Drosophila melanogaster: one gene and its partner. The protein of the gene in region 1 interacts with the protein of each later gene in a biochemical or structural test. Each region holds a gene or a part of one and is shown on either strand. Other genes may lie near its edges. The genes, in order: tra and tra2.

Region 1 (3,355 bases):
CCGCAAAGCAAACTCCTCGCCCGCAGGTAGTGAGGCCAGTTCCACCAGCGGATTCACAGCGAGTGGAAGACGTGGGTTGGGAACCAGCTCTGTTGCAGTGCCACGTAGTATTTCGCGCTGCTCGAACTCTAGTGAGTTCAGTCATCGCGATGGAAAACTGCTCCCCCTAAAGGTGACCCACACGACCCTCTGTTGGGGAAGCACAAAGCTGCGGACAGATGTGCGTAAGTCCATGCAGGTTAAGAACACAGCGGACAAACGGCTGGTCATTCGGCTTGGCATCCAGGGACCCGGATTCCAGCTGGTGGGCACCGACAGCAGCACGATCACACTCCAAGCCATGGAATGCCGCTCGGTAGTGATCAACTTTTGCCCCACTGTCTGTGGAGCGGCCATCGGAGCCTTGTCTTTCTATGCACCACCAGGAGCGCATAACAGCAACCAGCCGGGCCTAGAGATTCCGTTGTACGGCTACGGGGGCAGTGCGTCCATCACCATAAACGGTCTGCTAAAGGGACCGGTGGGCGCCAGTTTCCTTACCATCGGCGATGTATGCGAGCTGTCCGCTGGTCCGCTTTCGGCGAATCTCAAGTTTCACAACAAGGGCCCTCTCACCGCTTTCGTTGGTATATCAGTGGACTCCACCGTGCTCATGAAACTGCGCCTCAGCGAGGCCTTCGAGGTACGTCCGAGCCGCTTGATATTGCCGCCAAATAGCGAGCGCTGCGTGCAGATACTTTTCCGACCGAATCGTGAGGACTTGAAGAACATACTTAAGAAGACCGCACAGGTGTTGACCCTGGCCAATATGCGGATTTTCTGCGGAGACGAGCCCAACAGACAGCGTATGCGTAGCTTGGTCCAAAGGATGAGCAGCCGACAGCGAGAGAAACTCACATCGCCGATGCTGGACAGCATTTGGGGCGAATTTCCGGACGAGCAGCCAGTGCGCAACATCGGTCAGCTGAACGAACCGCCAGAGTTTATTCTGGACTTGGTCACAGTAGTGCGGATTATTGATGTTGCGCTTACCCTCAATCGGGACTTTGATGAATCGTCTGAGAGTTCCCTGATGTTCCTGCCGGAGGCCGACGAAACCGTGCTATTCCGCACCATATGTGTGGCCAATTCGCCGACGCCAACGCAGAGCCATCTATTGGAGCCAGTGGATGAGCTATTGGAGGCGGACACCACAACGTTGACGCCCGTCGAGCAAAACTGGTGTGTGCAGCCAGGTTTGCTGGAATTCGGAGTGGGCTGTTCGCCACTGGCCACTTTGTCCGTAACCAACAGCTTCTGCTCCAGGCAGCTCATCGAGGTCACATGCAATGTGCCCGATTTGGTGCGAATCAGTCCCAGTGAGTGCTACGTATCCCCGGATGGCGGCCACGCGGAGATCGATGTGCGCCTGCTCCGCTCACCCAGGCAGGATTTGCTCGAAAGGGAGCCGCTCATTGTGGTCTCCATGGAAAACGAGCGCATCAGTGTCCCGATTAGTTTTAAATTTTAAAATTTGTTTTATTTGTGCCTGCTAATTCTGCTTTCCCTATGTTTGTGTAGTTAGTTTAAACAAAAATTGTATTGTGTACTTGTGAAATGAAACCGTGTTTGCAGAGTATTTGTAAGGAAAACGCATAACCCTAAAGTTAAAATACTCGCTTGTTTCCTAAAAGTTGAATTTAGCTTAAATAAAAACTAATAAAGTATATGAGTTAATTTTAAATTTTGATATGTTGCTCTCGAATATTCAAAAAGTAACGTATATGTAGCGATAGTTCGTCGAAAAGTGAGTTGGCGGGCACATTGCAAGGTGCAAGCCGAGTACGGTCACACTGAGGAAAGTGCATCATTTAATTTCCAGCATTTTCCGATGAAAATGGATGCCGACAGCAGTGGAACCCAGCATCGAGGTACCCACTATATAGTATAACCGATCTGATCAGATTCTGATCCAGTGCCATCTTTTTGTTGTTTTTTTTCTAGTGTCATATTGTGTGAAATGTGAAATGGATGAGAATGAACGCTGGACGACCAGACAGAGAAAGAGAAGCTAGGACAATAGGACTCTCAACTGCGCATTACGTGGATTCCGTCTCCGACGATGCGCCAAACACTATGCGTTAGATGCATTGACTAACCGCACACTCTTTTCACATAGATTCCCGTGGCTCAAGGTCTCGATCCCGGCGAGAAAGAGAATACCATGGGCGATCAAGCGAGAGGGACAGCAGAAAGAAGGAGCACAAGATTCCGTACTTTGCAGACGAGGTTCGAGAACAGGATCGGTTGAGAAGATTGCGCCAAAGAGCGCACCAATCCACCAGACGCACTCGCTCCAGATCCAGATCACAGTCGTCCATCAGAGAGAGCAGGCACAGAAGGCATCGCCAGCGCTCTAGGAGCCGCAATCGCAACCGAAGTCGCAGCAGTGAACGAAAACGCCGTCAACATAGCCGAAGTCGCAGCAGTGAACGAAGACGCCGTCAACGGAGCCCGCATCGGTATAATCCTCCGCCAAAGATCATCAACTACTATGTGCAAGTGCCACCACAGGATTTCTACGTTAGTAGTTATTTGTATTGAAACAAATAACAAATCTAACTTAAATCGATTTTGCAGGGGATGTCTGGTATGCAGCAAAGTTTTGGATACCAAAGGCTACCACGTCCTCCGCCGTTTCCACCGGCCCCCTACAGATACCGCCAGCGACCGCCGTTCATTGGAGTTCCGCGATTTGGCTACAGAAACGCGGGGCGTCCCCCATATTGAACATACTCCATTCGACATAATTACAAATTTATTTACATTCGTGTGTTTTGTACATTAAAATAATAAATACATATATATTTCAAACTAAAAATGGAGAACATAAAATATTGCAAACGGAGAACGTTGATTAAATCATGAGCAAATGCAGCAAAGAAGGCGGCAAAAAAAGGGTCACACGAGTTAGGAAGTGGAAGTTACTTAATTCTAGGAGGGATAACCATATATTTACGACTTTATACATGCACATTTACACATACACTCATGGTTTCGAGGGGACTAACACTAGCGACTCTCCTAATTACGATATTTACGCATTGTCAATAAATTATAAAAATAGATCATTTGTTGTGGCATTATACTAAAACAGTGGTTAGAGCTCGACCCGCGGACGAAACTGCAGCCGAAGCGGCGGATCCCGGAAGCGCCAGCGCGTCACGTAGACGAACTTCAGCGTGTGATCCTTGCCGAGCAGCTCCTCGTTGCACAGTATGTCGATCTGAAAGATAAGATACGTAGTTATCATATAAGTATGTGCCATGTATACAAGTAACTAAGCCAGTCTGAGCTTTCACTGAGAGCAGTTACT
Region 2 (5,127 bases), on another chromosome or scaffold:
ATATGTACGAGCTGTTCAGAAAACCGGTATATACAGGGGCTGGAATGCGATCCCGTGTTAAGAACCACTTTAAAGGGCTTAAGTGGCACGTAAAAGGAAACATTTTGGAAGCCCCGCTAGGTAGCTCCCTTAATGATGAGAAAGTGGTTAACACAATTGCAGATTTATATCAGAACGAAAGGAGAAGATACTTCGATTACCTTATGTCTAGGAGTAATCTGTATAAATCGTGTACATATCGAAACATAAATGCATAAAATATTTTCATTTATGTATAAGACTTTCTAGAATAAAGCTTTAAAATAATAAATGCCAATAAATGCTAACCAGTATTCTTTTAACGCTTGTTGAGGTAGGAAGGCAAAATTGCCGCACACTTATCAATGGGCAAAGCCTATGAATCACCTTAAGTTTTCATCTGATTATATTTCTTAATAGCAGGGAATATTAGCAACATGGACGATAAATTGGAAAAGTACTGGAGACGTCTATTTTATATGAAGTCAGTTGCAGAACCTACGTCGTTGGATGCTGATACGATAGAATATTTCGGAATATTCAGTATTGACGAACCAAATGTCGCTGCCCAAAAACGGTGGTACATTTATTATGGCCTTAGATTAGAAAGGTTAAAGGTTCTGGAAAGGATTCGAAAGAAATATGGCAATAGGAATGTCAGAGAAATATTTCAGATCGCCACATTCAGCGGAGTGGGATTTCATAAAGTCGTCAGAGAATATTTCTCCAACTTAAAATGGTTCACAAGCAGAAATCAATTGGAAGCTCCACTAAATAGTTATTATAATGATGAAAGACTAGTGAAAACTGTTTCGGACTTGCATAACAAGGAGCAAAAAAGAATCTTTGACTATATAATGATACAACACGCCTGGTTTGAGCGGTATAATGATCAAAAACCACCTCCTGCTAAACATTAAACTAACTAAAAACATCGACTTACAGTCGACATCTGTTGACTAAAAGCGGCATGTGTATTTGTTGATAGGGGGTATTATTATACATTTTACAACCTATTGGTCAAGTTAAATGATTTATAAAAATATGTCGAATAAAATATATACACACACAAGTAGCTTGCGGTTATAATATAGTAGTACATAATAGTATATACCTTGGAGTCTAAAGACACAGTCATCCGATCATCCTAATCAACAAACATAAACACCCTAGTTGTCTGCATTAATAGGTATTAAAAAGAAACAAGCGCATTAAAAGCTCACTGTTTTTTGATAGGCCACAGGGTTGCTTCAAAAAGCTCTTTTGTTGTGAAATTGGAAATCGTAAACAAAACGAAACAAACTTTATACAAATCAGTTGAAATCGTATTTGTTGGGTATTTAATAAGAGTGCGTAGGAAGTTAACACGCATTCAGAAGTCAGAGAAGCAAGAGTCACCTCGTTATTAAAATATGACAACGAATTCAGTAACTGATAAGAACACGGGTAATTAAAACGGCAAATTATTTATTTGGAACATCAACGATGATTAACAACCGATTCGCAGAAGGAGATTACAACCTGGATGAGGAAATCGACAGCCATTTGAGAAAATTGTTCTGTCTAAAACCAAAAGCTGAAACACCCAAACTCAATCCCTACATAGTAGAATTCTTTGGAGTTCTTAGCTTGACAGATCTCCGTGCCCCACAAAGAAAACTATGGGTCATATATCACGCCAAGCAGCCTGATCTGGACAAGACCGTTGATGAGATCCACGAGAAGTATGGCAAGAAGAATATGTTTGATCTGTACCGCACACCAGTTTTCAGTGGAGTTGCTCTGCGGGACAGTGTGAGAAAGCACTTCTCGAACCTAAAGTGGTTTACGACGGGAAATCTCCTGGAAGCCCCACCTAAAAGCCACTTCAACGACGAGCGAGTGGTGAAAACCATCACGGATCTGCATCATCTGGAACACCAGAGACTATATAATTATGTGATGGTGAAGAATATGTGGTCTATGCGGTATCGCTAAACTAACCTGTGATTTAGGATTAAATTTGTATATGACTATCTAAAAGCAAGAATAATAAATTGTACTATTACAAAATCCATATAACATAATGGTTTGCTAACCAATCAAATAGTATTGTTTTCTTGTAGTACAAATTTTGTTTATTTTCCTATATTTCGTTGAATAAAGTACATAATAATTATGCTGATTTAATTTGTTAAATATATTCGATAACATTAAATAAATTCCGCTTGTGTTTTTTTTTTCTAAATGGATGACAACGCCGCATAAGGGTTAAAGTGCCAATCGATAACGCACGTCCTCACCTATCGCCACCCCTGTTGAAGCGTGCGTCTTTCTAAACGCAGACAGAATAAATAAAACCTGCCAAAGGCTATCAATTAATTGGTAAACACTGATTGGGTGTGCAATATAGCAGGGAATCAAACCCTCAAAAATGGTAAGAACGGCAATCCAAATAGTGTGCACCCATTCATCTTCTTTTTTCGCCACCATTGCTCCGATAAGCGAAGTTTCGATAGGTAAGCAAAAAGCCAATGGATCGGGAGCCACTCAGTAGCGGGCGTCTCCATTGCAGCGCCAGATATAAACACAAGCGATCGGCGTCATCATCGTCAGCGGGGACAACTTCATCCGGACACAAGGACCGCAGGTAAATGTGTACACACATATGTGAGACGACCCTAAACGATACCTCTTTTGACATGAAGCATCGAGTAGTTTTGACTGGCAGTTTGGAAAAAAGGTTCAACTGTCATAGGGCCCTTTCATTTGGATTTGCCCCCTCAGCCGATTCAGCTGGTGCTCTTGCCAAGAAAGTTAAAACCAAAAATCATTCAAGCCGATTTCATTTCATTGGAAGAAACCAACCAACCAACCAACCAACCAACGAACATCACTATGTAAGAACCCACCGAAGCAATCATTTTCATTCTACGTCCAACTACCAAAGAATTTGGCCGAAAGAGGTCGAACCCAACCGTAGCATTTGTCAAGTCACACAAATTTTCCAACTGTCAGTTACCAAGGCGTGCAAGAACCACCCGAAATCCACACGAAATACAAAACTTTTCAAGACCCTCAAGAACGAACCGCAAGATAATCTTATTTCATTCCATTCCACATCGAATCAAGGTCTGACTACGATTACTGTGGCAGTCGCCGGCACCAGCGGTCCTCCTCTCGCCGACGCTCCCGTTCGCGTTCCTCCTCGGAGTCGCCGCCACCGGAGCCGCGTCATCGCTCCGGACGTTCATCACGCGATCGCGAACGAATGCACAAGTCTCGCGTAAGCCATTCTGCCGATTAATGCCTCCTTTCAATCCTAAAGATCTTCGGCGTTTCAGGAACATCCACAAGCAAGCCGCTGCATAGGAGTCTTTGGACTGAACACAAATACCTCGCAGCACAAGGTACGCGAGCTGTTCAACAAGTACGGACCTATCGAACGCATCCAGATGGTGATTGACGCACAAGTAAGTCGGTTTTCGATAAGCATTGCTAAGATATTTCCTGCCTGAATCCTTTTGTGTAGACAAATCCGCTGAAGCCCTGCAGTTTTGTCTTAATTTCTGGCTAGATAAAATTTGATAGCGATTGTGAGTTTTTGTGTATTCCAAACTAAAAGCTAAAGGCTTGCTGTCACAGTGGCATATTGTTCGAAGGAAATATTGATCTCCCGAAATCAATATGTGTTCAGTTGTTAGGAAAGTTCAAGTTCACAAACGTAGATTAACCCTTAATAACTTCTGACATACAGACACAGCGTTCCCGGGGCTTTTGTTTCATTTACTTTGAGAAACTCAGCGATGCCCGCGCGGCTAAGGACAGCTGCTCCGGAATAGAAGTGGATGGTCGCCGTATTCGCGTCGATTTCTCTATAACCCAACGGGCTCATACCCCAACTCCGGGTGTGTATTTGGGTCGTCAGCCGCGTGGAAAAGCTCCACGCTCATTTTCACCGCGTAGAGGACGCCGTGTGTATCACGATCGCTCCGCTTCGCCCTATGACAACTATCGTGATCGCTATGATTACCGCAACGATCGCTACGACCGTAATCTCCGCAGGAGCCCTAGTCGCAACCGTTACACTCGCAACAGGAGCTACAGCCGTTCACGCTCTCCGCAACTACGTAAAGTTTATTCCTCCGTCTATTTAATCAAACGTTTATCCTGTATATTTTCCACGATTAGGTCGAACTTCATCGCGCTATTAAAGCGCCTGGGGAGGAGGCTACTTCATTAACTCGTGCTCCTAAGTTCGCCCAACTGGATTGTGTCAAACGGGCTGTAAAGGAGCATACGACTGAAATATTGTTTTGGTGAATCCTATCCCATCTAATGCATTTGGTTGGCGAACAGTTCGCAACTAGATTAATTAATTATTCACCCAAAACACCCTTTAATCATAATAATTCGGTTACTATTATTAATGCTGTATAAAAACATAAATTGTAAATATCAAATCAATTACCAACATTACATACAGAGGTCCGCATGGATTGTGATATGTATTTTAAAGGAACTGCAGCAAACTGATAATGATAACATTAAACTAATTTTAATTATAAATGCAATTGTGCAGCAGGTACAAAATAAAGATTAATTTGTACAGAAGCGACGATTAACTTGTGAATGGGCGTTTTATTGAATTGGTCGTACATATCATTTACTTAAGCTTCTATAAATTTCAGTTTAATTAGGATTAACTAAGTTTGTATGGGAAGCAGAACCGGTCATACACTTACTCAATGGATCTCCACAGGATACAAATGCATTCTTTGGAAAACGCTCAAGTAGCACTGGGATTTGCACTTGCCGACGCTGAAGTAGAGGCCTCCAGGGATGTACCTGCTCCGCTCGATGTCTGTGTCGCTCGAGAGGCTTTGTAGGCCAGCTCTAGGGTCTGGTTAATCGTATGCATGTCCCCCTCTATGCTGCGTGCCCAGTTCTCCACGTCGCCGAGATCCTTTAGGGCAGTGCTGAATTGGTCGATGAGCTGCAGCCATTGGTGGGTCTGCTTGGCGAAATTGGTGGCGCCCAAGTGCAGTTGCTTTGCCTCTGCGTCCAGCCGCTTCTGGTTCAGGTAGGCCTGAGCCACGCCCACATTTAGGGTGTCCACCAGAGACTGAG

Evidence for each region.
Region 2: the proteins of tra (region 1) and tra2 interact in far-western blotting, tested with the Drosophila melanogaster proteins (one study listed by BioGRID).

The regions. Positions count from the first base shown.
Region 1 is NT_037436.4:16,589,559-16,592,913, reverse strand, and holds tra (transformer), read left to right. Parts: upstream 1-1,863; 5' UTR 1,864-1,870; coding exon 1,871-1,910; intron 1,911-1,983; coding exon of another isoform or gene 1,984-2,054; exon of another isoform or gene 2,055-2,158; coding exon 2,159-2,562; intron 2,563-2,619; coding exon 2,620-2,769; 3' UTR 2,770-2,855; downstream 2,856-3,355. Other genes in the region: spd-2 (spindle defective 2), read left to right, coding at 1-1,510; l(3)73Ah (lethal (3) 73Ah), read right to left, coding at 3,140-3,265. UniProt on the Drosophila melanogaster protein: Member of the regulatory pathway controlling female somatic sexual differentiation, regulated by Sxl. Activates dsx female-specific splicing by promoting the formation of a splicing enhancer complex which consists of tra, tra2 and sr proteins.
Region 2 is NT_033778.4:14,601,504-14,606,630, reverse strand, and holds tra2 (transformer 2), read left to right. Parts: upstream 1-2,293; 5' UTR 2,294-2,434; intron 2,435-2,492; exon of another isoform or gene 2,493-2,502; 5' UTR 2,503-2,531; coding exon 2,532-2,647; intron 2,648-2,705; exon of another isoform or gene 2,706-2,895; coding exon of another isoform or gene 2,896-2,897; exon of another isoform or gene 2,898-3,129; coding exon 3,130-3,283; intron 3,284-3,341; coding exon 3,342-3,470; intron 3,471-3,506; exon of another isoform or gene 3,507-3,645; intron 3,646-3,725; coding exon of another isoform or gene 3,726-3,737; exon of another isoform or gene 3,738-3,754; coding exon 3,755-4,127; intron 4,128-4,188; coding exon 4,189-4,211; 3' UTR 4,212-4,627; downstream 4,628-5,127. Other genes in the region: CG33468 (uncharacterized protein), read left to right, coding at 1-257; CG33469 (uncharacterized protein), read left to right, coding at 456-938; CG12868 (uncharacterized protein), read left to right, coding at 1,431-1,464, 1,526-1,995; Blos1 (biogenesis of lysosome-related organelles complex 1, subunit 1), read right to left, coding at 4,787-5,127. UniProt on the Drosophila melanogaster protein: Required for female sex determination in somatic cells and for spermatogenesis in male germ cells. Positive regulator of female-specific splicing and/or polyadenylation of doublesex (dsx) pre-mRNA.